Linked DNA regions of Saccharomyces cerevisiae S288C. The main gene of each other region encodes a partner of the protein of the gene in region 2 in a complex. Each region holds a gene or a part of one and is shown on either strand. Other genes may lie near its edges. The genes, in order: RRP4, RRP42, SKI6 and MTR3. A codon is read from its position in the direction of its gene.

Region 1 (7,268 bases), on a different chromosome or scaffold from region 2:
CTTTTTCTAATGGTCGCCTTTTTGCCTTTTTCCTCCCACGGCAAACTGCAAGAGCAGATCGCTTCATACGTTAGCTGGAAGTTGGAAACTCGCGCAATACATCGGTTTGGTGGGTGCAACTTTGCGCACCAAATGCAACGAAACGGCATTCAACGGAAGATCGTCTGCAGTGACCTTGAGCGCGGCAATAATACGGGCATGAACGCGTGCATGCAACTCGTCCTCAGTGACTTGGTCGCCAGGCGGGTACTTCTCAAAACAGTGCACGTGCACCCATGGCATTTGGATGGTATCAGTGGCGCCTTTAGTGTGTGCTGCAAAGATGCCACGGAAGTTTCCTAAGAAAGAAATGGCGCTGTCTGGTAGATTCATGACATAGTGGCTAATATGTGACGGAATGATCAGCTCTTTGGTGCGTGGTTGTGGCGGTTGTTGGTCATTGTGTTGCTGGGATCTGTGTCGTTTCTTCAAAGGCAGAGGGATCGTGATCTTGCCGCCCTCTTCATCTTGAATCCACTGTTGTAATAACTGTGGCGACTGGCGGATGAAGTCAGCGCCATCCATGTTGAAGGATTTGACGGTCTTGGCCACTTTGTTCAATGCGATGTTCTCCTTCAAGTATTTGTAACTCTCAGGATTCAAGTCGTTAGCCAAAACGATGACATCCTTCTTGCCCGCAGGTACAGCAAAGGGCCCCACGCCGGCGAAAACATCACAGACTACTTGGCCAGGCTGGAAGTACTGTTTGACGAGTCTTTCATGCTCTGTGTGCAATCGGGAGTTCCAGTACACCTTGCTAAAGTCGAATTTGAAAGTGCAGTTGGATTCCTTCTGCTCTACCACTAGACTATCGCTTTTCCCAGCAATGACTTTCATAGGAAAAGTCCTGAACTGTGTGGCAATGGAGCTGACTTTGTCCACGACACATTCGATTTTGTTGTTCTTGTCAAGGATGACTTGTCCGATGAGCGAGTCGAATGGTTTGAACTCGGTGCGCAAGTTCAAGTGGGCAATGTGGCCTGTGATTGTAAAACCCGTTGGAACCTCTTCCAGGAATTGCTCGGGCAGCACGGCTCGAAGAATCTCCTCAGCTTTCCAGAAATCATAATCGAGCACGTATTCGTGTGGTACAATTTCCGCACTGTTTTCCTTAAGAAACGCCAAGGCGTCCTCAGGCAATTTTCCATACGCATCCTCCACGCTGTGGATGGATTCGTGTAGCAGCACACCTTTCGTGACTGGGGTATTATTGCCATCTGCAGTCTTTAGTTTCTTGTTCTGTACACTTGTCAGTTCGTCCTTTGGCTTGGATGAGTTTAACTTAACAACGTGCGGGATACGGGGCACCCTCAAGATGCAATTTTTGAAGTTTTTAGAAAACACACTGATATTTTTGGGTTCGGGGAACTTGACTGCACACATTGGTATCTTGGTGATGAAAAATGACCTATCCAATTCTCGCATTTGGCGATTCACGGGTGGGTTGTATGGGAACACTCCTGACATCTTGCACGAACTGATCAATCTATTAAATTTTTGGAATACTGGCAGTGCGATTTTCATGCAATGAAAAATATCCTTACCTTTACTTATGGTTTAAACTGGTTTGTTCAAATATCCTCAGTGAATCTTTTTTTTTCTTTTTCTTCCTCAGTATGGATTGAGCGATGAGGTGAAAAAAAAAAAAAAATTAAGAAAACTAAAACAAAAGTAGAAGAAAAATATCCTTCCTTAAGTACTGCTTGCATTCTAAATCTTTGCGTAGTCACACAAGCGTAAACAGATATGTCCGAAGTTATCACAATTACCAAGCGGAACGGTGCCTTCCAAAATTCATCTAACCTGTCCTATAACAACACAGGGATATCAGATGATGAAAATGATGAAGAAGATATCTACATGCACGATGTTAACTCAGCTTCTAAAAGTGAGTCTGATTCTCAAATTGTGACGCCAGGTGAGCTGGTCACTGATGACCCTATCTGGATGAGAGGTCACGGTACGTATTTTCTTGATAATATGACGTATTCCTCTGTTGCTGGTACTGTATCCCGTGTCAATAGGCTGCTATCGGTAATTCCATTGAAAGGTCGTTATGCCCCAGAAACTGGTGATCACGTCGTAGGGAGAATTGCTGAAGTGGGTAACAAGAGATGGAAAGTAGACATTGGCGGTAAGCAACATGCAGTACTTATGTTGGGCTCTGTGAATTTACCGGGTGGTATTCTAAGAAGAAAATCTGAAAGTGATGAACTACAAATGAGAAGCTTCCTTAAGGAAGGTGACCTCCTGAATGCAGAAGTTCAATCATTATTTCAAGATGGTAGTGCCTCTTTACATACAAGGTCTCTAAAGTACGGGAAGTTAAGAAACGGGATGTTTTGCCAAGTCCCGAGTTCATTAATAGTGAGAGCCAAGAACCATACTCATAATTTGCCCGGCAACATAACCGTAGTTCTCGGAGTCAATGGTTACATATGGTTAAGGAAAACATCTCAGATGGACTTAGCGAGGGATACGCCGTCTGCAAATAACAGTTCCTCAATTAAATCAACTGGACCCACTGGTGCGGTATCATTAAATCCCTCCATAACAAGACTGGAAGAAGAGTCTTCATGGCAAATATATTCGGATGAAAACGATCCTTCCATATCGAACAACATACGACAAGCAATTTGCCGGTATGCGAACGTGATCAAAGCGTTAGCGTTCTGTGAAATAGGCATTACTCAACAACGTATAGTAAGTGCTTACGAAGCTAGTATGGTTTATTCAAACGTAGGTGAACTGATTGAGAAAAATGTAATGGAATCCATAGGCAGTGACATTCTTACCGCCGAAAAAATGAGAGGTAACGGCAACTAATAGGAATACAAAAGCCGCTGTTTACACATTTATAAACTACACAGCAGACTCCAACGCAATTTATGTGTATAAACTTACATAATGTCATGGCTATGTACACACGATTAGTACGTATAGAAATGCAATTGACTCATCTTTATTGCAGACATTACATCATATTTTGTTGATATTATAGTAATATGTTCATTTTTTTATTTATCTCTATATTAAAACAAAACTTTTGCACTAAAAAAAGAAATAGTACAGATTCATTTTTTTTTTTTTCATCTCAAAATTCTCTCATCAATTCTTAACTTTTTTGATTGGTTTACCACTGGCAAAGGTAGCAGCAACAATCAATGGAAGAACAGTGGTGACATCAGCAAAAAGTTTGACGGATTTGGCTTCAGCCTTGATCTTACCCCAAGACACAGCTTCGTCAGGTCTTGCACCTGCATCAGAACCATCGTATTCTTGACCAGTGTTAATGTAAACGGCATAATCAGCACCATTTCTCATCAAACAAGCATTGGCAATGTGGTGCTTGATCAAACCACCACCCAAGATGATCATACCGGCTCTGTAAGCGGCCATGGACATTGAATTGATTTTGCGGATATCTCCTACAATGTCAACTCTTAGTTGTTTTGGAGATGCTTTAAAAGTATGGAAAAACAACATGTCACCGATTGAACCATCAGTCAAAGATGGACAAAAGATTGGAATTTTATTCTTGTGGGCCCAGTACAATACGGAGGATTCGTCGTTGATTTCCTTACCAAAACGATCTATCATCTTAGATGGGGTCCAGATTGGTGAATCCACGTCTTGGTTAGCCTCTAAACAGTCAGCGCCATGTTTCTTTACGTATTCATCTTGTTCTTCCAACATCTTATCCAAAATTGGGACAATCCATTCTTCAAACTTACAGTAGTTATCATTTGGAACAAGCAAGTTACCAATACGATTCATACCTTGGTCACGCAAAGATTTACCTTTCAAAGCAAATTCACCCAAGTAAGTTGGAGCAAGACATTTGATCAAATCTTCTTCCACACCACCAGCAGAAGTAACGACAGCATCAACCATTTTGTGTTGCACCAAATAACGTAAAGTTTCACGTACACCGGAACTGATCAAGTTAGAAGTATAACCCATGAAGATAGTAGTCTTTTGGTACCCTTCCTCATCGAAGCAACCTTTCTTTTCATGGTCATCCAATTCGTCAATATGCTTACCTCTCCATGATCTCATACTATCAATAATCTCACAGGCAGTACCAACAGAACTAGCTTGGAAACCCATGGTCTTCATAGCTTCAATTAAATCAGTTGCTCTCATATTAGTGGCTTCAGGCTTTGAGTAATCAATACCTTGAACCTTAACGAAGTCATCTGGAATAGGAACAGATGCTTTCAAGACAGCGTCTTGTAGTAACTCTGGGAGTTTTTCGTTGATATCGGACATCTTTTTTGCTTTGACTTGTATATAAGTTAACTAAGCAAAACACGACTTTACTCTGCAGTTAGATACAAAACTGATAGAGGGAAGTACTTTGCGTCAAAATGGAAATATACATTACATTTAATTTTTCACTTTACTTTTTATTTTTTTTTCCCACCTTTTTTTCAGTTCTTCCCGTAATGCGTTTACCGTCAACCTGGTGATGGCGAGATATTATGGTAATCTCGTTCGTGACCTTCCACTGTTCAGCAGCTACTAGTATTATTTCAAGAGACAAGAAACACACAGGTAGTGATTATCTGCAGAGAGACAATTACTGGTAGTCAACAGAAAACATCAGCTTTCATGTAGACTAAGTTGGCTTTCTGGAGGTCCCTAATTTGAAATGTGTACATTCCGCTCGAAGAGCTTAAAGACTGACATATGCTCAAAGTAGTGTTTGGATATATATAATTCAAATTGCGGTATCGCAACTGTCTGATTGGTTGTTCGAGAAAAGGTTGGATGCATTTCTGTAGTAATTGGACCGAGAAGGGTCCTTGCATGATAATATCGTCGTAGCCTTCAACATAGCGACTGTACTCTTTGTCCCAATGAATTCGGTGCGGATTCAAAGACATCTGACCATAAGCTACAATATCCATATCAGTAACAGTAAAATTTTTTAAGATCTTATAGTTCTCCTCTCCTACGGGCATCTTGACTGCAGTCTTGTTTGCGGGTGAATTGGTGTACATTAATACCCTTCTCTCGAATAAGCAAATGTCCATTGGACTCGACACATTTTCGGGCCTTTCTTGTAAAAGGGTTCTTTCAATACAGACAACATGTTCATCTCGTATTTTTTTTACGTATTTGATTGATTCGTGGCATGTATACTCCTGGTCTAAGGTGACTGGTAAATACTGAACAAGCTCTCCTTGTCCCCAAATCCTTCTACGGTAGCGTAAATCAGGGTTTCCTAGCAAACTTGCAGGATTTTGATAGTTAAAATAACCATCTCTATCCAATTTTTCGAATGATGGTGGGAAGAACAGGAAATGTTCTCCCAGTTGAAGATGCTTCGTTGCCTTTGATACAGGGAGTCTCCTACAAAGTAAACTATCAAACGCTTTGGTTCGGTGACTAGATAAGACATCCCTGAAAATCCACGTTTTGGATTTCATGCTGATAAGCTGTCTTTAGATAAGTGGACGATTGCCCACCTTCAATGTACCAGCCACGCTCATGTATCGAAACAGTAGCTTAAAATGGCGTAAAAAAGGTAAGATCGAATTTTTTTTCACATGCCTTCTGAGATCTACGTTTCCTTTGGGCTATGATTTAAAAGACAAAGAGTTTATATGTATCAAGTATGCAATTTATCTAAAGTGAAGAAGTATACGTGCGTTGGTGGATAGCCAGGCTTAACTAAAATTTTCTTGGTACCGGAGAACAATTTATTCGACCTCACTAAATAAGTCACTATCTAGATCCTCTGGTACGCTACCATAATGTTCGCTGTCACTTGATGAAGACTCATCATCGCTCATCGCATCATCTTTTCCTTGACCTTCACCTCCTTCTGCTGCTCTAGCTTTTCTTCTTTCCAATTTACGTTGCTTTTTAGCGTCTTTAACAGCCTTCTTTTTAGCAATGTTTTCTTCTTGTTCCTTCTTTCTTTGTTCCTTCAGCCTCATTTTTGCAGCGTGTCTCTTTTCTAAAGCTTTGATTTCTTCGCTTGATTTTTGAACAAATTCATGATGTAACACTTTACCTGAACAAATACCTTCTTCTATCTTGACCAGTTTTAAAGTTAATCTTGGTCCTAATTCAGTTAGTTTGATAGCTTTCTTACGTGGGGTTGGTTGCAAGTTTTCTGAAGGCTTAGGTTCCTCCATTTCCACATCTTCTTCTTCTGTTTCTTTTTCACGCTCTTTATTATCCTTCTTTTCGACCGGTGTTCTTTGGGACTTCAAACTTTGAGAATGCTTTGCCTTCACGTCCTGATTATCAACTACTCTCACGATAGCGTCATCTTCAATTTCAGATTCTGATGTATAGGCGCCTAAGTCGTGATCTAATATCAAAGAAGAAATATCTTCTTTTCGATGCAAATTCGGCACTGTTTTACTTAGATTATTTTTGGCTTTATAAAGCCTTTTTAGGTTTCTAGAGATCTCTACTTCTCGAATGTCAATAAAATAGTGGCGCATAGAAATTTCCCCTGTTTCCCTGTCTTTATTGATCATAAATACACGTTTGATAGAATTCAAAGAAGTTCTCGCAGGATTCAGAGGTGGGAAAATATTCTGAAACATAGAAACAATGACCTTCTCCACGTTTACATCCTGGTCGTCTTCACCAGATCTTTTGGATGTGGAAAACCCGTTTAGCACTAGCAATGGAGGATTTAATACATCATCATTATTCAACGATTTAGGTCTCTTCAAAAATTTTTTGATATCTCTACCCAGAGAATAGTCCAATACTTGAAAAGTAACAGTAGGACCTTGCGGAGTTCTAGCTATCTTTAGGGAGACATTTCCTGTTTTTTCAGATTGAGTGAACATAAAAAGATGCGTAACACCTAATGGGCCACACATAACAACGAAATCCTTCAGTTTATTGGACTTGCGCTCTTTCAATTTTATAGCCGTATGTGGTTGCATGATTTGGCGGAAGTCCTTTACTAATTGGTTCAGAGAATGGTTGGCCAAAGAAGTTTGACCCACTCTGATTACCATTGACTTAGGTATACCTTGTTCCTGCTCAGGTGTAAGCTGTGCATGTGTTCTTTTCTTTTGTCTTCTCTTGGCCATCTTGAAATTTTATTGTCTGCTATATCTGGATTATACTCTTTTATTATTAAACATACTACTCACTCAAACCCAGATATCGAACTAATATCGCGATGAGATGAGCTTCTTCGTCTACTTTTTTTTTTTTTTTTTTTTCAGTGAAAAATTTCAATTTCGTCT
Region 2 (6,894 bases):
GTTGGTAGGAACTCCAGAACGAGATTTAAATTATCATAAGCCATAAATATGTCTATTAGTTCTATGACGTTCGGATGCTGCATTTCTTGGAGGTACTTAACTTCACGGATAGCTGACATATCTAAACCATCTTTAAATTCGGATGTTTTGATCTCCTTAATAGCAATCTTTCTTCCAGTAGAGTGTTGACAACCCAAGTAAACAACCGCATAAGTACCCTCACCAACTTTCTTTTCTGCGATGAATCATCATTAATCAACGTTAGTATCATTATTGAATGTTAAAAGAAAGACGACAATATATAACCCCCACATACCCTTTGTGTACTCCATATTCACTTTCATATGTTCGCTCTGAGGCCGGGAATATTTTTTTTGATGACTTTTAAGTAACTGTGATTTCACTTGTATTTTTTTTCAATGTGTTTTTTGAATCTACTTGTAATATTCTCTGCACAATGCTTCAAATGAAGCTTCACATCATAACACAAAAAAAATTGTAGGTTCATCCAATGGACGAATCTTTCTTAAGGCTTATGCTTGAAGACCATTTCTATATACCAAAAAATTACAAACTGGCAAGATTGATGTCTTATTGAAACTGAAAATCTTTCAAATTAGAGGGTGATTTTCAATTACAATTGACAACTAAGCCGACTTCCCCTGAAACCGCTTCTGAATTCTTACAAATTTCTCTTGGAGGATTTGTTCAAGGTAGTGTGGTATGTTTTTAGCGTATTAACAGCAAGCGTTGTGTCTGCAAACAAAGAGAAAAAATATCAGTACAAAAAATGCTCACCTGACCTTATTCACCCAAAAACATCGGGGAAACGGTAGTAATATGGAAGCTGGCAGGAGTGCTGATGAAGTGCTATACCACAATCAGTCGTCAGTAAAGTTAGGTGAGTTAGAAAGATACGTTATTACATATGAGCTATACCAGGGTGATAGTATTCCCGCTGATATCACACTGGATTCCCTATGGGTAAAGATCAAAAATACCACAAAGCTATCCTATAAACCAGCCTATCTATTGGGCCCATTTATCTTATATTGTGACGTGCGAGCAAAAGATTACGAAAGCTCGTATAAGATCATATGTTCGGCGGATAAACCAGTATTTCAATCAAACCTACAGGCACAACAAAAGTTTATTGCAGAGTTGTCCTTGCACCACATTAAGCCACGCTATGTATGGATAGTGGATATTGTCAGTCAAATACTATTTAATAAAGAAACTAAGGTAACTTTTGAGATAGTAGTCGGCAATTCAAAGGCCTCTTTGAAAAGAAAAATACGATGTAATGATTCATTGCCTGATAAAGCCTGCAATATTTTACACACAGGATTATCGGTGCATAGACTTACCACCGCAGATATATGGAAAGTACCACGACCCATAGACATGTCGCAAAAATCCCATTTAGTCATTCTCACGCATGGTTTTCAATCAAACGTTTCGGCAGATATGGAATACTTAATGGAAGAAATATACAAGGCTCAAATGAACAATCCAAATGAGCGACTAGTTATTAAGGGATATATGAAGAATGCTTGTGAGACTGAGAAGGGTATTAAGTTTTTGGGTGTTGGATTGGCAAACTACATCATCGACGAGTTATATGATGACTCTGTTGGGAAAATTTCATTTATTGGTCATTCCCTGGGTGGATTAACACAAACTTTTGCTATTTGTTACATAAAGACCAAATATCCATATTTCTTTAAGAAAGTGGAGCCAATCAATTTTATCTCACTGGCGTCACCATTGCTAGGCATTGCTACCAGCACGCCCAATTACGTAAAAATGTCATTGTCGATGGGTATCATTGGTACTACGGGGCAAGAACTGGGTCTTAAGGATGGAAATTATGGTGATAAGCCCCTACTTTACCTGCTATCCGAGGAATCCTTAATCAGTGTGCTTGCTCGATTCAAAAGAAGAACACTTTATGCTAATGCCGTCAACGACGGAATAGTTCCCTTGTACTCCTCTTCTTTACTTTTTTTGGACTACTCTCAATTACTTCAGAAACTGGGAGGTCAAACTACGGCACCTTGTGATCCTCTCTTCCAGCCTGAAGTAAGTCCTATTGGGGAACTTCCAAATCATAGCGATGTTGCTAATGATGATGATGGAATCAATGCATCGTCATGGAACACGTTTTGGAAGAGCAAGGAAAATAACTGCGACAAGAAATCTAAACGCTTGATGAATGCTTCCGTCATCAAATCTATGAAGTCTGTGCTTCTATCACCATGCCCCGACGCAAAGTTCTTCTCAGATCCCGATGCAAGGGTCGCAACAATCATACATGATAAGATCTACACAGAAAAGAATTTACCGCCTCCATCACCAACACTTTATGAAGGAACAGCAGCCAAGGAAGGCGAAACGAGGAAGACGAGAAAAGAGATGGAGGAAATCATAGCACGCCGCTGGCACAAGGGGATGCATTGGAGGAAAGTCGTGGTATTGCTGAAACCAGATGCCCACAATAACATCATCGTAAGAAGAAGGTTTTCCAACGCTTACGGCTGGCCGGTGGTTGACCACCTTGTTACCGCCCATTTCCAAAGAGATGACCCAATCGCCTCACCAATGCAAGATAAACAGTTTGCTGAGGAAGATATAAACATGGCAACCGGAGGGGTGGAACCAAACAAGTTCTACTCATGGCTCACCAAGATCGAGGATCCTAGTGTGTACCATGGTGGAATAGTCTCCACAGCTAGCCAGCTCGCCAGCTCCTGGATTAGCAAGCATTCCTCTGTGACAGATTGACTGTCTATCTTGACGTCATCCCGGGATTGACTTGCAATTTACTATTGTCCACACCTACGAAAGTCCATTTTACTTCGTAGTTCGATAAATGCGCTTACGGGTCTTTTTCGAGCGGGACAACTCTTCAGCTCCTCCCCTAAAACCGAGGCCGAATATCCCTTCTCCATATAAATAAGACACTTTTCACCAGGAAAACAATACTTCAGAAGCTTATTTCTCTTGACAAAAAGAGGGGTAAGATCTTTATAAAACATAAAGCAAATCAAAACATAATAACTACTACAAGTAACATAATGTGCTCAGCAGGCGGTATCAGAAGACCAATCCAGATCGAAGAATTTAAGACGGCGATAAGCGGCATGTCCGACATGGAGTTGGCACAGATTAAAACAGAAATTGAGAACAGTATCAATCATTTGCAGAGGTCTAACGCCCGCTTGGGTAAATACATAGCTAAGTTGGAGGGTGCTGACGACCGTCTTGAAGCTGACGACAGCGACGACTTGGAGAACATTGATTCGGGAGACCTGGCGCTGTACAAGGACTCTGTCAGGGAGAACGAAATTGTGCTAAACAATTACAATGAGAGAGTGGACGCATTGGAGCAAGAAACGGTATATAGAAAGACGGGCCATGGCAAGAGTAAGCACGAGGTAGAGGCAAAGGACAACACCAACAAGGGCCCTGACGTTGACATGGACAATTCAAATGTGGACGTCGTGACACCAAACAGCATATTCATTTAAGAGACGGGATTTAGTTTTACTGCGCATCATTTTCACGTCATACTCTTTGTCTCTCTGTTCTATCTCTTCGTATAAATATTTCAATAACTCCATTTGTCTATTCTATCTACCCGTTCTATCCTTACTACTAGATATCTTAAAGAAATAATAAAATAAGTAAATACAAAAAAAACTCGCTATTAATAATTTATCTCCGAAAGCCCTAGGGTGTGCTTTTCTTCCGTGCCCTAGTCTATTATTTTGAACCCTAGTTGGCGAAATTTTTTTCTAATATTCAGAAAAAAGAAACGTAGAGCTTATATGGTGAAGGAGTACAATGATACTAATAGTCTGTAGACGGCAAAAGGCATTCTTTTTGACTAGCACAACGACAGTTTGAGATTCTGTTGAAATAATCATTTATGTCTCTTTCGGTCGCCGAAAAGTCGTACCTATACGATTCACTAGCAAGCACGCCTTCAATTAGGCCCGATGGAAGACTACCTCATCAATTCAGACCTATAGAAATATTTACTGACTTCCTACCAAGTTCCAATGGATCGTCCAGAATTATAGCTAGTGATGGAAGTGAATGTATCGTGAGCATTAAGTCCAAAGTTGTGGATCATCATGTGGAGAATGAACTACTTCAGGTCGATGTAGATATCGCAGGCCAAAGAGATGACGCGCTGGTAGTAGAGACAATCACTTCTTTACTGAACAAGGTTTTGAAGTCTGGTAGCGGAGTAGATTCCTCAAAGTTGCAATTGACAAAAAAGTACAGCTTCAAAATATTTGTCGATGTTCTGGTCATTTCATCACATTCACACCCAGTTTCTTTAATATCCTTTGCTATTTATTCAGCGTTGAACTCCACATACCTACCGAAACTTATTTCAGCTTTTGACGACTTAGAGGTGGAAGAACTTCCTACGTTTCATGATTACGACATGGTTAAGCTTGACATTAATCCGCCTTTAGTGTTTATATTGGCCGTTGTAGGCAACAATATGCTATTGGACCCTGCAGCCAACGAAAGCGAAGTGGCCAATAATGGCCTAATCATTTCCTGGTCTAATGGTAAGATTACATCACCTATCAGATCAGTAGCATTGAATGATTCAAACGTTAAAAGCTTTAAACCTCATTTGTTGAAGCAAGGTCTTGCAATGGTGGAGAAATACGCCCCCGACGTAGTACGATCACTGGAGAATTTATAAAAATATAGTCACAATTAGATAAAAAGACAAATTAGTTTACATACTAAAAACTTCATGGTTAACAAAAGTGGGAATGAAACCTGATTCTTACATGTGTTGAACTGTATAGGAATGAACGATAACTGCGGTTGCCGTTTGAATATTCATTGATCTGATCACACCAAATTGTTGAATCTCTAAACATAAATCCAATTCGCTTAACAAAGTCCCCGGAATACCGAATGCTTCGGTTCCTAGCAAGATCAATGATTTTTTAGGGAATTGGAAATTGTTGTCTAGCTTCACTGATTTATCCGTTTGCTCTAGCCCAATTAATGTGTACCCTTCCTTCTTTTTCTCTTTCATGAAACTTGCAATCTCATCTAGGGCAACTTCCTCCATGGGCATCCATCTATCAGCAGTCACAGCAACATTTTTAAATTGAGGATGGTTTTTGACTTTGATGTCTTGTACAGTAAGCAGTCCCACACCTAAAACATCACATAACCTACAAATACCTCCCAGGTTTGGCGGCTTATCAACTAATGAAGATACCACAATCAATTCAGAACGTGTAACGACATCATTCGATTTTTTATTGTCCAGATCCAGAACGGTTTCCCAAGCTCCACTTTTTGTTTGCAGTGGAGAAGTGTCACAGGAGATGTTCGCGTTGTTAACAGATTCCGTATTGGTGTCTCTTTTATCAAGCCATAAGGACCTTTCATCGGTACCTATAGGAACAATATCTTTCTCCTGCAAATATTTTTCGAAAACAGACTCAGAAATGTACGGGCAATCATGGTCGGTAACTTTTTTGAGCACACCACCAAACATGTTCGTTAATTTCCTATCACCCTTCAGATCCCATATGTTGGCATCCCCGGCACGATATTGACCAAATATTTGAGTCTTTTTGGCATTGGAATATAAGTTCTCAATGATGTTTCTCAGTGTGTGATCCGATAGGTAGGCTTTGAATGTAGGCCATAATGAAATTATTAGAGAATTAGAAAAATGCCTTACCAGAGGTTTGTTTGAAGCTGCGTTAGGAACTAACGTGCAAATGAATCTGTCTAGTAACTGTGTAAATCCATATTTCTTTTCGTCGTTTCTTAAATCTTTCAACACCATAAAGCATATTTTTTCTGCGCTAACTACAAACACCGGTTTGCTATGATCCTCCAGCAATGAGAAGAGATAATCCTCAGCAAATTTTGGATTGCCAGTTTTATAATAATCAACAACCTTTGAGGAAATGAACCATTCTTTATATACTCTTACTAGTGGTGAACTTTCATCCTCGATACTCTTTAGAATTCTGATCATGCTAGTTTCGCTTAATTTTTTTTCATTGGTGGTTAGTAGTGATAATAATAACAATTGCCACTGCAACAACCTCTGTAACGCTTCGGCACCGTCGGTTCTCTTTATAGCATAAAGTGCGTTTGTTTTTTCAGTAACTTTTTCGATTAATCGAATTTTCAACTGATCATTTGCATATAAAATAGAATCAATAATAGATACTCTAGCCAATATTTCGTCGGGTCCGTACACCTTTTCATAAAGTTCATCGCCTTTTATGTAATAATTGTTCAGTTTGTGGTCAAATAGGCTGGAAATAACAGGTTTGAGCTTGTAAAGGTTGACATCCATTTGCGGCTGTTTGAAAACACCTACTATAATGTTAATCAACCACCAATAGTTGACATCTTCTCTTAACAATTTCCCATAAAACTTCATAAATACTCTGAGTTGTGATCCGAGAAGAGGGAGTAGGCTTCTTCTGGAATAACTCAATGATATAATCGTTTGTGCATGTTCCTCCAACTTCGAGGTCAAAGTATCGATATACTGATTTGATCCAAAGTACAGGATCACAGGATGAAATAATCCCTTAATTAGCATCAAATGCAGATCCCTTTCCTTCAAAACTAATCTTTCACTATTAATACATTCCCATATAAACGAAAATTTCTCAAAAATGAATTTCACTATGAAAATATCATCATCAGAAACAGATGTGGAGCAATGGATGTAGGAATCTATGATAAAGTACAATAATTTACAGACTGCCAGGTTCCCCAGATAATTCCCATTATCTTTGTTAATATTCTCGTCAACTAAGCGTAGTAGTATGTGAAGCTCATCATCATTTCCTTCAGAAGAGTCACGATTTAAGGCGT
Region 3 (6,940 bases), on a different chromosome or scaffold from region 2:
AGTAATTTAGCTGATGCATGATAGTTGCATTTGGTTAAATATCTTGTACATGATTTTAAAGTGGAGACTTTGGAAATTGCACTTAGCATTTTTGAATTTTTCCCTCGAGATGATTTAACAATAACCTAGCTCTTTCAATGCTCTCTTATATTCTCACTGGAAAGCGCTAATTTGATTTGTCTCTCTCGTTGCTGGTCGCTCACCCTTTCATAAATTGTTTTTTACTCTTCATTTATTGATTTTACTTTTTGTCATTTTCCGAACGGGGAACAAAATGATGACTACTTGCTACAGTATACGAAACATACAAGGGCATTGTCATGTGCACGCATAATAACGGTGATATATATATATGTATGTATATTATGTGTCTGTGTTTGTGTGTACTTGTCAGGGCATGATAAATTATTCAAACATATTTTAGATGAGAGTCTTTTCCAGTTCGCTTAAGGGGACAATCTTGGAATTATAGCGATCCCAATTTTCATTATCCACATCGGATATGCTTTCCATTACATGCCATGGAAAATTGTCATTCAGAAATTTATCAAAAGGAACTGCAATTTTATTAGAGTCATATAACAATGACCACATGGCCTTATAACAACCACCAAGGGCACATGAGTTTGGTGTTTCTAGCCTAAAATTACCCTTTGTAGCACCAATGACTTGAGCAAACTTCTTCACAATAGCATCGTTTTTAGAAGCCCCACCTACAAAAAAAGTCCTTTCTGGCCTTTTATTTAGGTAGTCCCGCAGCGGAGATTCATCGTAATCAAACTTCACGATTGTATCTTCGTTCAGTCTCTGTTGTGAGCTTGCGTTTGAATCCGAAAGCAGGGGAGATATTCTTACCCTGCAACTTAAAGCCTGTGATTCTACAATATTTTTGGCATCGTGCCTCTTGTCTTTGAACTTGGCCACCTCTCTTTCAATCATACCCGTTTTTGGATTGAAGATAACCCTTTTGTTTATGGCTTTTACGCTAGGAACGATCTCCCCCAGAGGAAAATATACACCTAATTCATTTTCACTACTTTCTGAGTCATCTAGCACAGCTTGATTAAAAAGAGTCCAATCGTTAGTCTTCTCATAATTATTTTCCCGTTCTTTGTTTAACTCGTCTCTTATCCTCTCCCTTGCCAAAGAACCATTACAATAACAAATCATACCCATATAATGGTTTGGCAGAGTTGGATGAATGAAAAGATGATAGTTCGGAGAGGGGTGATACTTATCGGTGACCAGAAGAACTGTAGTACTTGTTCCTAGGGAAACGAGAACGTCATTCTTCCGCAGGGGTAAAGAACATATAGTGGCTAAATTATCCCCAGTCATGGGAGAGACCTTGCAGTTTGTATTGAAACCGTACTTCTCAATAAAATATTTACAGATGGTACCCGCTATCAAATTTTTCATGGGTGCTCTCATTAATTTTTGTCTGATAGTTTTATCCTTAGAAGAACTATCAATTAGATGTAGTAGCTCATCACTGAATTTTCTTTCACGTATATCATAAAGGTTCATACCACAGGCATCTGCCTCCTCTAATTCAACAAGATGGCCCACTAAGATAGAAGTCAAAAAATTAGACACTAAAGAAATGGTCTTTGTTTTTTCGTAAGCTTCTGGTTCTAATTGTGCAATTTTCAGAATTTGAGGACCAGTAAATCTAAAATGGGCTCTGGACCCTGTTAATTGAGCCATTTTTTCAGGCCCACCTATGCACTCTTCAAACTCTTGACATTGCTTTGCAGTACTGTGGTCTTGCCAATTGGGGGCGGTTTGCCTTGCAAATGCTACAGAGCTCACGTAGTGCAATAAATCTTTTTCCGGTTTCTTATTCAATTGCTCTAACAGAGATTCGGCTTGGGAGGACCAGTAGACAGACCCGTGCTGCTGGCAGGACCCTGAGACGGCCATAACTTTGTTCAATGGAAATTTAGCCTCGCGATATTTCGAGAGAACCAGATCTAGAGCCTCTAACCACATGGCTACGGGACATTCGATAGTGTCGCCGTGTATATAGACACCCTTCTTTGTGTGATAATGCGGAAGATCCTTTTCAAATTCCACTGTTTCTGAATGGACAATTTTTAGGTCCTGGTTAATGGCGAGACATTTCAGTTGTTGGGTCGAAAGATCAAACCCAAGATAGTATGAGTCTAAAGACATTGTGTTGGAAACCTCTCTTGTCTGTCTCTGAATTACTGAACACAACATTAAAGTACTAATCTCATCCTCCTTTTGTTTTTCTCGAGAGGGCCCCCTTATTCGTCCGCCTGAGATTGCATTGGCCGAATTGAAAAGTGACAGTTATGCACCTCAGCGGCTATTCCCTGCGTCGCTTGCTGAAGATTGAGGATTATAGGAAGTAGTAAGCTGGAAATGGTAATTTGTAAAAAGAAAATTTCTAATACTGTGACAATGTTATTAAATCGGGGTTGTTTTTGTTTGGGGCGGCCAGCGGAATAATTTGTTTTCAAGGACAGCAGAAGCTCAGAAGAACAAAATCTCCGTGATCTTTTAAACTTTTTTCCATTCTGATGGAATAATGGTCTTGATCCCCTAAATATTTCCTTTTTTATTGCAATTATGATAGAAATTAATAGTAGTCTATGCTGGATGATATATATATCTCTTTTGAGCTTGCTTCAAATTTTTTCCCGTTATAATGATGAGTGTTTTGCTTATTAAGGGTCTAGGACATTTCTATCAGTTTCTATACCAAAAGAAGAAAAAGTGGAGAATTGTTTGTTTATTTTAATATTTTGTTCTTTAGTTTTAAAAATTCAGAAGAGAAAAAAATTTTATTTGTCACAAGGAAATAAAACATAAACAAAAAAGAAAAATTAAGATTTGCAATTCTGCCGCTTAAGCAAAAGTAGATCATTCACTGGAATATATATATATAAACGCATTTATAATCTTGTAACGTGCACTCAATTTAGCTACGAAAGCCAACCAGCAAGGAACCTTTTATTTGAGTAGGTACATTTACATCTTCGGGTAACGCGGTGAAATTGAAAAATTTTAAGGCATTAATAATTGAAAAGCTAGAAGAAATGGATGAATGAATGACATTGCGAACCATTGTGCAATGAACATCATCCAAAAGAAAACATCATTTACACATATTTTCTTTCCAGGGTCCCACTGGTAAAATCTATTAACATATAAAAAGATTTACAAAAAAACTTTAGTGCCATAACTACAGCAGGATCATCATATGTCAAGACTAGAAATATACTCGCCAGAAGGGCTACGTCTCGATGGACGTCGATGGAATGAACTCCGCCGTTTTGAAAGTTCCATCAACACACATCCGCACGCTGCAGACGGTTCATCCTACATGGAACAAGGTAACAACAAAATTATCACTCTTGTTAAAGGTCCAAAAGAGCCAAGATTGAAATCTCAAATGGATACCTCAAAGGCTTTATTGAACGTATCGGTAAACATTACAAAATTCTCCAAATTCGAAAGAAGTAAATCAAGCCACAAGAATGAAAGGCGTGTTCTTGAGATACAAACCTCCCTGGTGAGGATGTTTGAGAAGAATGTCATGCTGAATATCTACCCCAGAACAGTTATCGATATCGAGATCCATGTCCTTGAGCAAGATGGCGGTATTATGGGATCTTTAATCAACGGTATTACCCTCGCTTTAATAGATGCCGGTATATCAATGTTCGATTACATAAGTGGTATATCCGTCGGGCTGTACGATACTACCCCATTATTAGATACCAATTCATTAGAAGAAAATGCTATGAGTACAGTGACACTAGGTGTGGTAGGGAAGTCAGAAAAACTTTCTCTTTTATTGGTGGAAGACAAAATTCCGTTAGATAGGTTAGAGAACGTTCTTGCCATCGGCATCGCAGGTGCTCATAGGGTAAGAGATTTGATGGATGAAGAACTGAGGAAACATGCTCAGAAAAGAGTCAGTAACGCCTCTGCTAGGTAGAATAAAAAACGCCATTAATTGCCACTGTTTATATAAAAGTACATAAAAAACAGTAAAATTGAAAATTGAACGCATTTACATTTTCGTGTTTCTACCGTAAAGCAAAACGCTTACAGTTTTTTCTTACCTATTGATGCGAATAAATCCTTTGGTTTCATAGAATGCTGGAAAACTTTTCTCCTTAAGTGCGTTACATTTTGGTTGACACTAGCAACCGTGTTAATGACAGTATGCTTCTTACTCAAATCGTCCGCGTTCGCATATGCTTCCCTAACGTGACTATGCTGCTTATACTCCTCAGCTATGAAATCCTTATCCTTATTAGAGGATGATTTTAGCGTATAATTTATCCATGTTTGTATCCCCGTATCATATTCATCTAGCTCACGCTTATAATTTCTCAACTGTTCTATCTTACCGGCGTGCGAAGTCTTACTGTTCAGTAGTTTATTCATATCTAATTTCGGTAAGTTATTCTGCTGCCCCAATTTCGCCATTTCTTCAGTACTGGGTTCATGGACGCTTGTCATTTCGCCTTGAGATACTGTTCTGTTTTCACTTTTGAAAGATGCACTGCGCGCTGCCAAATCATTGGCAGTATTGTTACTATTATCATTATCTGTTGTACTATTATCGTTTCCTGCATTTAATTGTTCCTGTGCGTCCATCGGTAGAGGTGGCAAATTCGATTGGTTACCAATCAAACCGGGAACATTATAAATCGTATTGTTGTCGTATATAGTCTTAGTGTCCCTGATTGTCTCCAAATCGTCATCTTCGCCTTTGGAAGGGAATGCATCCCAAGTACTCTCCATCTCTGAATAAGTCGATACAACACGTGGTTTCATACTAGCAGGTGTTAAATCTACTAGCTTCCCGTTAGAATCGATCACGTAACCTGGTGGCGCTTTCTTATTGGCTGTATCCTGTACGAACCCTGATCGTAAGGCCTCACTGTCCGGCTTCCAAGAATCAACATCAGTGGAGTCTTTAACTGAACTTTCTTCCAAAACTTTGTCTTCATTTATGTGGTCTTCCTCATCGCTGCCATCGCTGTTTTCCAATTCAGAACCGCTATTTGACAAATTGGTATTTTCAATGGTGTCTATTTGATTAGGTTGCAATGCTGAATCACCTTTATCATCATTACCAATCATTTTGGAGAAATAACCTGATTTGGGCGCCTTGAGACTGCCTTCATCTGAATCAGAGCTCATACCTTTTTCCTCCTCCTCTTCATCACTCGTAAGTAGAATGGAACCTTTTTCCCTATTAGAAAATTTATAGCTATCTGTATCTTCATTTTCGTCTTCTATGGATTCATTATCTTCGTTTTTGTCTTCTATGGATTCATTATCTTCATTATCTTCTTCTTCTGTCTCATTTGTCGAATATTTTATTGATTCGGTATACGACAATGCATCATCGTCAGTTGTATCAAGTTGTTTCGATTGCCGGTTAATATCAGCATGTTTATCACTAACCGAAGATCGATTATCATCATCACTACTACCACTGTTGCCTTCGTTGTTATCATCTTCTTCAGAGTCTGACGAATGCTGATAATCATTGAAAAAAGAATTTCGATATCCATTATCACTAGTTTTTGTTTCATTTGCTACGGGTTTCGGCTTTGCTACTTTATCTTGCCCACTAGATGTAGAGTTCCTATTCCTAATACTAGTCTTTTCTTCACTTTTTTCTTTCTTTTCCAAAGCTCCTGAGCTCTCGACTTCACCATCATCTTCTTGTTGTAAATTCTCCTCTTTCTCCGCAGGCAGAATATCTGCAAGGTAGCCTCTTTCGGAAACTTTAAACTCGTCGTCTTTCTGCTCAGAAACATCGCCATCACTACTCAAATGTTCATTTCCATTCCTTGTTGGCGTATTGAAAGTGGTATCAGCTTCATTAGTATCCATTGAAACCCCTAAGGAATGTGATTTTTCATCTTCTTCTACAGGAGATGATGAAGAGGGTACCGCTTCCCCTAATGGTGCTTCGTTTTGGATTTCGTCACAACTGTCTGAATCACGCCGAAAATCAGATGTTTGCCTAATTTCTGGTGTCATCTCCCTTGATATTTGCTCTATCAAATTGTCTAGGTCTTCGTTTACAGCCCTATTTGTATGTGGTGATTTTTTGTTTTCACTTGGACTTTTCAAAGATGCTGTCGACGAAAGATAATCTGATTTGGAGTGCTCGCTGGATTTTTTCGCTTGTAATTCCACAGACTCTCTTGAAGCCATAAGTTTAGGCACCCCATCTGAGAGATAGCCTACTTCCTTGTCACTAGGACTAATATCACTCTTACTGACGTTATTATCATTGCTGTCTTTATTTTCACCCGTATTTTCATCATGCTCACCATTAACATCTGTATAATTGAGCTTGGGTAAACTAGGCAAATTAGATATTTTTTGCTTGTGAATTTCTGAACCTTTTGTGCCATCCTCGGAAGAGTAGTCATATTCGTCACTACTGTCCCATCCAGCGCCGTCATAACTTGCTTGAGATGCGCTAACCCATCTATACGATTTCTTTCTACCGACCTGTTCAGTGCTCATAATAAATATCCGCTTTCCAGAAAAAGGGTAATGATCAAACAGTCCCTTTTAACTATAATGCAAGTTTTGTGTTTACCTTGTTAACCATGTATGAAAGTGGTATTTAGGAATACTTTTAAGTGCCTTACAGAATTCTTGGCATGAGAAAAACAAAATAGCTACCCGGAATGAAACACTAATGTGTCACCAAACAAACAAACGACGTTATATAATTGTTGTGATATTTGCATCTTCATCTTATGATGATGAGAATATAAATAATTTTTAATCGTATTAAGTGTATATATGAATAAGCTATTAACCCTACCCATTAATTTCCGGGCGGGTTGTTATTTTTATCAGTATTGGCCTCTGCCGGGCGGCTAGCACGCTGGGTAGCTGCTGCGACAGCGGCTTCTGCTGCTTG
Region 4 (6,900 bases), on a different chromosome or scaffold from region 2:
AAAAGGGAATCTGCAATTCTACACAATTCTATAAATATTATTATCATCATTTTATATGTTAATATTCATTGATCCTATTACATTATCAATCCTTGCGTTTCAGCTTCCACTAATTTAGATGACTATTTCTCATCATTTGCGTCATCTTCTAACACCGTATATGATAATATACTAGTAACGTAAATACTAGTTAGTAGATGATAGTTGATTTTTATTCCAACAATATATATAAATTGCTGTAATCTAGAAAACTACAATGTGAATGCTAGTTACGTGGAAACAGAAGAATTAGTTTGAGTTTATATCTGGATTTCCTTTGATATATGGATAAGTAAGCTCGCTACGTGACATAAATATTTGAATAAGAATCAGAATTAGTGGGGCGATAAAGCAATTTCCGATCACCTCTCATGCGAATATACACTTTGCACACGTACTACCGCAAGCATTGTTATTTTTAAGGCACCTTTGACATGGCCAACGAGCGTTCATCTTTTATACCCCTTTCATAACTATATGAAGGTGTACGATTATTTTGAATGACTACTACAATTTAGCCGCTAATTATCAACATGAATCAAGCGGCTTATAATGCACTAAAATAATGTATCGTTGTACGATAGGTACATTATCGTTTCTACCATTGCAGAAATACGCGGCTCATATTTTACAAATCTTGGATTTTCGTGGTGAGGGGACCTGAGGGTTGTAGAAAATGTGACGTAGCGGAGATTCAAAAGAACGAAAACAAAATAGTAGATACCCCGCTCTGTGAGTTTCTTCAAGGGTTCGACAAATGAATTTAGATACCGTTCAAATTTTTGATTTTCTTGGCGTTCTAAGAATGTCCTATCACAGCCTTGCCACTATCTGACTGACGGAGAAGAACATTGAGATATGATGTTACATTTTTTTATATTCATGAATATTAGTGCGTATTTACAGTGAAAAGCAATCGTCCAGAAATGCATAAACGAAGAATCGATATATAAAACACATTGTATTATAAACTAAGTAACACGTCATCTTCTGCACCTCCCATTGCGACTTCTTTGAGTTCAATCTGTAAGCTAATCGTATGCCGTTTTTCAAACGTGTTTGAGTAGAAAAGTAGCCACCATATGTGCACGGTGAGCACAAAACGTATAGCTCGCATCAGGCGTTCACCAGCCTTGAATTCGGCTCTGTCTCAAGGAAGGATTAGTACTCGGACACGCCGTCGCCGTCTCTTGCAATAAGTCCATGTTCTTGCTCTGGAATAAGGTGAACTCTTTAAGTATTTTCTCTTCTAGGCTCAGTTCTCCGAGTTGTAGGGCAAAATCAACCATGCCACTACTGCCATGATCGCTGCTTGTGCCAGTAGCATCACCTATGAAGCCCTGATCGGCTTGAATATTTGCGAAATGTGCATTCGAAGAAAGATGGTTGAAGTATCCAGACATAATGCTGTATAATGTTGACTATAATCGGTTGTTTTAGCTCTGTGGTATACTACAGATGTGCTAAAATATGCCGAAATCACCACAATATACAATAAATACGATATCATCATGGACGCATGCACGACATATTACAAGGCGGGGGAAAGAAGAAACGGAGCGCCAGAGCCACAACGAGGAAGCGGGTTTGTGGCTCTCACATCACAGCCCGCCCCTACCAAGATCGTAAGCAACGTGTTCAACACGTACCAAAAAACCATAATGGCAAGCCAGCGTTTACCTCACCCGCGGATGACACATCCTGCTCTTACATATGATCGCGGGCTGTCCACAAAAAACAACCTGGAAATACCAAATTTGGCAGCTACCGCGGAGTAGTGGTCATGACGGAGAGAGTTGCCAAAAAGTGACTGACTCGACTCCCCTCACAGCCCGGATCAATTTTTCCATGCGTTTCCACGGAAATCCGAGGTTTGCCGTTAGAGTCCCAAATTGGCGATGGATGATGAGATAATGCGCCCTTATCAATCACGCTAAAAATTGCCCCACGCTGTACTCAACGATCATAGCTGGCTATTGTTATCGTTGGCTTAGATGGTTTCGCCCGTACAAAAATAGACTTGCATATATATAAAGCTTATCTTCGGCCTCAGTCGTCTAAAAAACTATCTTGCCTAACATTATCTTGTCTTCTTTTCGTTCCCTTGAATCATATATAAGAAAAGATAATCAATCATTCGGCTATTTTCTTACAGATACATACATACGTATAATTCATCAATCATAGCATTAATAGAAGATAAAGTATAATGATCGCTACCTCCAGAGCCGTAAACATGAATAAAGAATCAAAACACAAGAAGGCTGTTGCCAAACCATGCAGAGAGAGACAAACTTCAGTTACAAGAGCCATGAGACCAGCTGTAGCACGTGATCCTCGCAGACTTTCGACGTCGTCGTCTCCTTCTTCGTCACCAATGTCAGCACAGAGAAGGCTTTCGAGGGAAGAAATAATAAACGAAATGGAAAAGGAGCAAGACGCTATTGTAGTAAGACTTCTACGGGAAATTGAAACTTTAAAAGAAGAAAACTCTAGGTTAAAAAATCAACTGCACCATCCGGTCCCGGCTAGAAGGTCGTCTCCATTTTTCGAAGGCGAGTCTGCCATCCTAGATGATGATGACTGCAATTATGGTTACACCCTCGACACTCCAAAGCTAAAGCTCACAGATGGTGCATCCAGACACACCGTACTTCCCTTAACACCCAAGGACTCCATGACCCACATTTCCCATTCCGCCAGAAGGTCAAGCCGGAACGCTTCCATATCTAACGGAACAAGCATCTCAGACACGATTTTCCCCATTGAGACTAAAATCCACTCAGCACCAACAACAAACAGAAACCTTCCCTCCGCCGATCTTCCACATCACACTCTTCTTCCACGTTCTCTAAGCGGCATTTCGTCTAGCGATTTAACCGAATCCGGTGCTCTTCTTCATGACAGGAGAAGGCGTTCTTCCAATTACAGTCTCGATGGCTCAAACTCTTTAAAGGCTGATCTCATGGCAAAGAGATTCCAAACTGGTTCATTGAAATAGGCTGTAAGCGAGATACATAAGAAAACAGAGTTTCTCTAAATATATTCTTCCTATTGATCTTTGGCAATCCAACACATATGCAGTTCGTGCACTTGCGTTATAAGCGTGACTTCTCGCTTGGTTTTTTTTTATAATTTTTTTTTAAAACCTCATTCTAAGTACAACTTTGGCGTTTTTCCAAGCTACTACTTATAATTATATGGTTTATTTCATAAATATATATATATATATATATATATATAGAAAATCAATATACATTTAAGCCTTACTGGAGATGACACTATTTTTGTTCACATTTTTTCTTATGCTCTAAATACCTCGGCCTCATACGCAGAGACAGTGTTGATATGTTTTTATACAAAGTAAAGGCAAAGAGAAGGCACAGACAGGATTTCACAGGCAGCTAAGTAATAACGAATATGCTTGCTTCACATATTTTGCCGCCAAATTACACGCTATGGAGCTACGTTCTACTAGTGGTTACTTACCGCTAGCTATTTAAACCCCATCACGTTGATTGTCTATTTCGCTATAGGTTATTTTGCCAAGAAAACTTACTGGGCAATACTTACATCCATTCAGATTTTTGGATAAAGCAATTGAAGAAAGACGACAGCAATTCGACTGGTGGTTGTTAATTACCCTTTGATCCTCTGATTTAAAGACGTAATCCTTCCTGGGGGTAAGTGCCTGATGTATGGGTCCCCATGCCCTTTTTTTTCGTTTCTTTTTTCACTCCATTTCTTTTTTTTTTTTTTTTTTTGGTGAAAAATTTGCAAGGGCAGCTCATCGCAAGAACGAAAATTTTCAATCCAATATTAAAAGTACTTAAGTGTAGCTGTTGCTGTCTGCACTTCCCAATCCATTGGTACCTTAAGTTATTTCCTTTCGTAGTATTTTTCTTACTTTTGCTTCCCAAAGACGAACTGTTAACCAATTTCGGATCACTCAACCCAGGCAGGATAAAATAAGATGGCTAAGACTACTAAAGTAAAAGGTAACAAGAAGGAAGTTAAGGCTTCCAAACAAGCCAAAGAAGAAAAAGCTAAGGCCGTCTCTTCCTCTTCCTCCGAATCTTCATCCTCATCTTCATCTTCATCTGAATCTGAATCTGAGTCTGAGTCTGAATCTGAATCTTCATCTTCATCTTCATCCTCTGATTCTGAATCCTCTTCTTCATCGTCTTCTGACAGCGAAAGTGAAGCTGAAACCAAGAAGGAAGAATCCAAGGATTCCTCTTCCTCTTCCTCTGACTCTTCTTCCGACGAAGAAGAAGAAGAAGAAAAAGAAGAAACCAAGAAGGAAGAATCAAAAGAATCTTCTAGCTCTGATTCATCCTCATCTTCATCTTCTGATAGCGAAAGCGAAAAGGAAGAGTCTAACGATAAGAAACGTAAATCTGAGGACGCCGAAGAAGAAGAAGACGAAGAGTCTTCCAACAAGAAGCAAAAAAATGAAGAAACCGAAGAACCAGCTACTATTTTCGTTGGTAGACTATCGTGGTCTATTGATGACGAATGGTTGAAGAAGGAATTCGAACACATCGGTGGTGTCATTGGTGCCAGAGTTATTTATGAAAGAGGTACCGATAGATCTCGTGGTTATGGTTACGTTGATTTTGAAAACAAATCTTATGCTGAAAAGGCCATTCAAGAAATGCAAGGTAAGGAAATTGATGGTAGACCAATCAACTGTGATATGTCCACAAGCAAGCCAGCTGGTAACAACGATCGTGCCAAGAAATTCGGTGATACCCCATCTGAACCATCTGACACTTTGTTCTTGGGTAACTTATCTTTCAATGCTGACAGAGACGCTATTTTCGAATTATTCGCTAAACACGGTGAAGTTGTTTCCGTCCGTATCCCAACACATCCAGAAACTGAACAACCAAAAGGTTTCGGTTATGTTCAATTCTCCAACATGGAGGACGCCAAGAAGGCTCTAGACGCTTTACAAGGTGAATACATTGACAACAGACCAGTTAGATTAGACTTCTCTTCTCCAAGACCAAACAACGATGGTGGTCGTGGCGGTAGCCGTGGTTTTGGTGGTCGTGGCGGTGGTCGTGGCGGTAACCGTGGATTCGGTGGTCGTGGTGGCGCTCGCGGTGGCCGTGGCGGTTTCAGACCATCTGGTTCTGGTGCTAATACTGCTCCATTGGGCAGATCAAGAAATACCGCTTCTTTCGCTGGTTCAAAGAAAACATTTGATTAATGAGAAAATGAAATGAATTTCAATTTCAATTTTTTCTCTTTTTACGTTAATTACTATATTCCATTTTTGAGGAAAAATTTGGTCTATAATATTTTGTGTACATTAGTAAGTAAATAGGATACATTCTTAAACCTTTCATTCACCATCTCTATTTGCCAACTTTTCTTCGAATGGCTTACTCTTTTTTTTTTCACGATGAGATGAGATCGCTAGATACGGAAGATTACAAGGCCTTGGAAAATACTCAAAAAATTTCAGTAATATGAAATGAATATCTAAATAAAAGCTTGGGCGTTGTGCTTGATTGAGCCACGAAAACTTCCTTTAAGGATTAGCACATACTCCACTTAAAAGTAGGAACATACTCACATTAAGGTGTTATCAGAATAAATGAATGTTCAAGACAGAAGGAGGTTATTAGGCCCTGCTGCTGCCAAGCCAATGGCGTTTAGCAACACTACTACTCATGTGCCAGAAAAGAAATCAACAGATTTGACACCTAAAGGCAATGAAAGTGAACAGGAACTTTCTCTACATACCGGTTTCATCGAAAACTGCAATGGATCTGCATTAGTAGAAGCTAGAAGCTTAGGACACCAAACATCGCTCATTACCGCTGTCTATGGACCACGCTCCATTAGAGGATCCTTCACATCTCAAGGTACTATATCTATTCAGTTAAAGAACGGTCTTCTGGAAAAATATAACACAAATGAACTGAAGGAAGTTAGCAGCTTTTTAATGGGCATTTTCAATTCAGTAGTAAACCTATCTCGCTACCCCAAGTCCGGCATCGATATCTTCGTTTATTTAACGTATGATAAGGATCTTACAAATAATCCTCAGGACGACGATTCGCAAAGCAAAATGATGTCTTCTCAAATATCATCTCTCATACCACATTGTATCACTAGTATAACGCTAGCCTTAGCTGATGCCGGCATCGAATTAGTGGATATGGCAGGTGCCGGTGAGGCCAATGGCACTGTCGTATCATTCATCAAAAATGGAGAGGAAATTGTAGGTTTTTGGAAGGATGATGGTGACGATGAAGATCTTTTGGAATGCCTTGATCGTTGCAAGGAGCAATATAACCGTTATAGAGATTTAATGATAAGCTGTTTAATGAACCAGGAAACTTAGACACGAGATTATCCTAGTCGGAAAGAAAAGTGAAAGAGGTTAAGAAAAAATTCATGGTAAAAGAAGCGCACAAAGGCATTGTACATCAACATCATAATTTATAATGTCATTCTGCATATATGGTAGCTCCATTATATTACAACAACATAACTACTTCTATTCAAAATGTTAACTTGAATCCTAGTACTTTTTAAATATATATACTCAAAAAAAAAAAACTCAAGCAAGACTATCAAGCGTTTGTTTTATATCCCAAGCGCGATGCGAAATAACGTGAGCGTCACCATTGACTCTCCTCATATACTCAGACGAAAGTTCGACGCCAATTGAGTTCTTAATCAATTGTTTCAAGCTGTCCATCCCGAAGAACTTATTTCCTAATGGACGAAATTTACCATCCTTCAAAACGTTGACTTTCGTCAAAAACTCAGTCAAATCCTTCTCAAACAGTTCAGGTGTCGTGGTATTTAGTACCGGCAATGAAATTTCAAATGGTGTAG

What was found.
Region 1: the proteins of RRP42 (region 2) and RRP4 are in contact, whole or in part, in a cryo-EM structure (PDB 5G06), measured with the Saccharomyces cerevisiae proteins. Residues at the interface, in NP_010172.1 of Saccharomyces cerevisiae: Met1 (codon at 3,932), Ser2 (codon at 3,935), Leu3 (codon at 3,938), Ser4 (codon at 3,941), Val5 (codon at 3,944), Ala6 (codon at 3,947), Glu7 (codon at 3,950), Ser9 (codon at 3,956), Tyr10 (codon at 3,959), Leu11 (codon at 3,962), Asp13 (codon at 3,968), Ser14 (codon at 3,971), Ser17 (codon at 3,980), Pro19 (codon at 3,986), Ile21 (codon at 3,992), Arg22 (codon at 3,995), Pro23 (codon at 3,998), Asp24 (codon at 4,001), Gly25 (codon at 4,004), Arg26 (codon at 4,007), Leu27 (codon at 4,010), His29 (codon at 4,016), Gln30 (codon at 4,019), Phe31 (codon at 4,022), Arg32 (codon at 4,025), Pro33 (codon at 4,028), Ile34 (codon at 4,031), Glu35 (codon at 4,034), Ile36 (codon at 4,037), Phe37 (codon at 4,040); in NP_011936.1 of Saccharomyces cerevisiae: Ser2 (codon at 1,789), Val4 (codon at 1,795), Ile5 (codon at 1,798), Thr6 (codon at 1,801), Ile7 (codon at 1,804), Thr8 (codon at 1,807), Lys9 (codon at 1,810), Arg10 (codon at 1,813), Asn11 (codon at 1,816), Gly12 (codon at 1,819), Ala13 (codon at 1,822), Phe14 (codon at 1,825), Gln15 (codon at 1,828), Asn16 (codon at 1,831), Arg115 (codon at 2,128), Lys164 (codon at 2,275), Glu165 (codon at 2,278), Gly166 (codon at 2,281), Asp167 (codon at 2,284), Leu168 (codon at 2,287), Leu194 (codon at 2,365), Arg195 (codon at 2,368), Asn196 (codon at 2,371), Gly197 (codon at 2,374), Met198 (codon at 2,377), Phe199 (codon at 2,380), Trp232 (codon at 2,479), Asp283 (codon at 2,632), Asn285 (codon at 2,638), Ile289 (codon at 2,650).
Region 3: the proteins of RRP42 (region 2) and SKI6 are in contact, whole or in part, in a crystal structure (PDB 5OKZ), measured with the Saccharomyces cerevisiae proteins. Residues at the interface, in NP_010172.1 of Saccharomyces cerevisiae: Phe40 (codon at 4,049), Leu41 (codon at 4,052), Pro42 (codon at 4,055), Ser43 (codon at 4,058), Arg49 (codon at 4,076), Ile51 (codon at 4,082), Gly55 (codon at 4,094), Glu57 (codon at 4,100), Ile59 (codon at 4,106), Ser61 (codon at 4,112), Lys63 (codon at 4,118), Gln77 (codon at 4,160), Asp79 (codon at 4,166), Asp81 (codon at 4,172), Ala83 (codon at 4,178), Phe125 (codon at 4,304), Asp127 (codon at 4,310), Leu129 (codon at 4,316), Ile131 (codon at 4,322), Ser132 (codon at 4,325); in NP_011711.3 of Saccharomyces cerevisiae: Thr31 (codon at 3,320), His32 (codon at 3,323), His34 (codon at 3,329), Ala35 (codon at 3,332), Lys48 (codon at 3,371), Ile50 (codon at 3,377), Leu52 (codon at 3,383), Asn77 (codon at 3,458), Thr79 (codon at 3,464), Lys80 (codon at 3,467), Phe81 (codon at 3,470), Lys83 (codon at 3,476), Arg86 (codon at 3,485), Glu125 (codon at 3,602), His127 (codon at 3,608), Leu129 (codon at 3,614), Glu130 (codon at 3,617).
Region 4: the proteins of RRP42 (region 2) and MTR3 are in contact, whole or in part, in a cryo-EM structure (PDB 5G06), measured with the Saccharomyces cerevisiae proteins. Residues at the interface, in NP_010172.1 of Saccharomyces cerevisiae: Leu90 (codon at 4,199), Glu93 (codon at 4,208), Thr94 (codon at 4,211), Thr96 (codon at 4,217), Ser97 (codon at 4,220), Leu98 (codon at 4,223), Lys101 (codon at 4,232), Lys104 (codon at 4,241), Ser107 (codon at 4,250), Asn211 (codon at 4,562), Leu213 (codon at 4,568), Lys221 (codon at 4,592), Ile222 (codon at 4,595), Thr223 (codon at 4,598), Ser224 (codon at 4,601), Pro225 (codon at 4,604), Ile226 (codon at 4,607), Arg227 (codon at 4,610), Ser228 (codon at 4,613), Ala230 (codon at 4,619), Asn232 (codon at 4,625), Asp233 (codon at 4,628), Ser234 (codon at 4,631), Val236 (codon at 4,637), Lys237 (codon at 4,640), Ser238 (codon at 4,643), Phe239 (codon at 4,646), Lys240 (codon at 4,649), Pro241 (codon at 4,652), Leu244 (codon at 4,661); in NP_011674.3 of Saccharomyces cerevisiae: Gln90 (codon at 5,915), Thr107 (codon at 5,966), Asn108 (codon at 5,969), Glu109 (codon at 5,972), Lys111 (codon at 5,978), Glu112 (codon at 5,981), Ser115 (codon at 5,990), Phe116 (codon at 5,993), Gly119 (codon at 6,002), Asn122 (codon at 6,011), Ser123 (codon at 6,014), Ser163 (codon at 6,134), Ile165 (codon at 6,140), Ile204 (codon at 6,257), Glu208 (codon at 6,269), Glu209 (codon at 6,272), Ile210 (codon at 6,275), Val211 (codon at 6,278), Gly212 (codon at 6,281), Phe213 (codon at 6,284), Trp214 (codon at 6,287), Lys215 (codon at 6,290), Asp216 (codon at 6,293), Asp217 (codon at 6,296), Gly218 (codon at 6,299), Asp220 (codon at 6,305), Leu223 (codon at 6,314), Leu224 (codon at 6,317).

The regions. Positions count from the first base shown.
Region 1 is NC_001140.6:229,176-236,443, reverse strand, and holds RRP4 (exosome non-catalytic core subunit RRP4), read left to right. Parts: upstream 1-1,785; coding exon 1,786-2,865; downstream 2,866-7,268. Other genes in the region: TRM5 (tRNA (guanine) methyltransferase), read right to left, coding at 64-1,563; DYS1 (deoxyhypusine synthase), read right to left, coding at 3,148-4,311; hydroxyacyl-thioester dehydratase HTD2, read right to left, coding at 4,632-5,474; SSF1 (rRNA-binding ribosome biosynthesis protein), read right to left, coding at 5,748-7,109. UniProt on the Saccharomyces cerevisiae protein: Non-catalytic component of the RNA exosome complex which has 3'->5' exoribonuclease activity and participates in a multitude of cellular RNA processing and degradation events.
Region 2 is NC_001136.10:261,148-268,041, reverse strand, and holds RRP42 (exosome non-catalytic core subunit RRP42), read left to right. Parts: upstream 1-3,931; coding exon 3,932-4,729; downstream 4,730-6,894. Other genes in the region: TFIIH complex serine/threonine-protein kinase subunit KIN28, read right to left, coding at 1-235, 317-344; YDL109C (putative lipase), read left to right, coding at 841-2,784; TMA17 (Tma17p), read left to right, coding at 3,078-3,530; TRM3 (tRNA (guanosine(18)-2'-O)-methyltransferase), read right to left, coding at 4,817-6,894. UniProt on the Saccharomyces cerevisiae protein: Non-catalytic component of the RNA exosome complex which has 3'->5' exoribonuclease activity and participates in a multitude of cellular RNA processing and degradation events.
Region 3 is NC_001139.9:885,653-892,592, forward strand, and holds SKI6 (exosome non-catalytic core subunit SKI6), read left to right. Parts: upstream 1-3,229; coding exon 3,230-3,970; downstream 3,971-6,940. Other genes in the region: PDX1 (Pdx1p), read right to left, coding at 1-89; XKS1 (xylulokinase), read right to left, coding at 421-2,223; FYV8 (Fyv8p), read right to left, coding at 4,081-6,534; SNG1 (Sng1p), read right to left, coding at 6,845-6,940. UniProt on the Saccharomyces cerevisiae protein: Non-catalytic component of the RNA exosome complex which has 3'->5' exoribonuclease activity and participates in a multitude of cellular RNA processing and degradation events.
Region 4 is NC_001139.9:804,769-811,668, reverse strand, and holds MTR3 (exosome non-catalytic core subunit MTR3), read left to right. Parts: upstream 1-5,647; coding exon 5,648-6,400; downstream 6,401-6,900. Other genes in the region: YGR161W-C (uncharacterized protein), read right to left, coding at 1,164-1,442; RTS3 (Rts3p), read left to right, coding at 2,249-3,040; NSR1 (Nsr1p), read left to right, coding at 4,013-5,257; CHO2 (phosphatidylethanolamine N-methyltransferase), read right to left, coding at 6,620-6,900.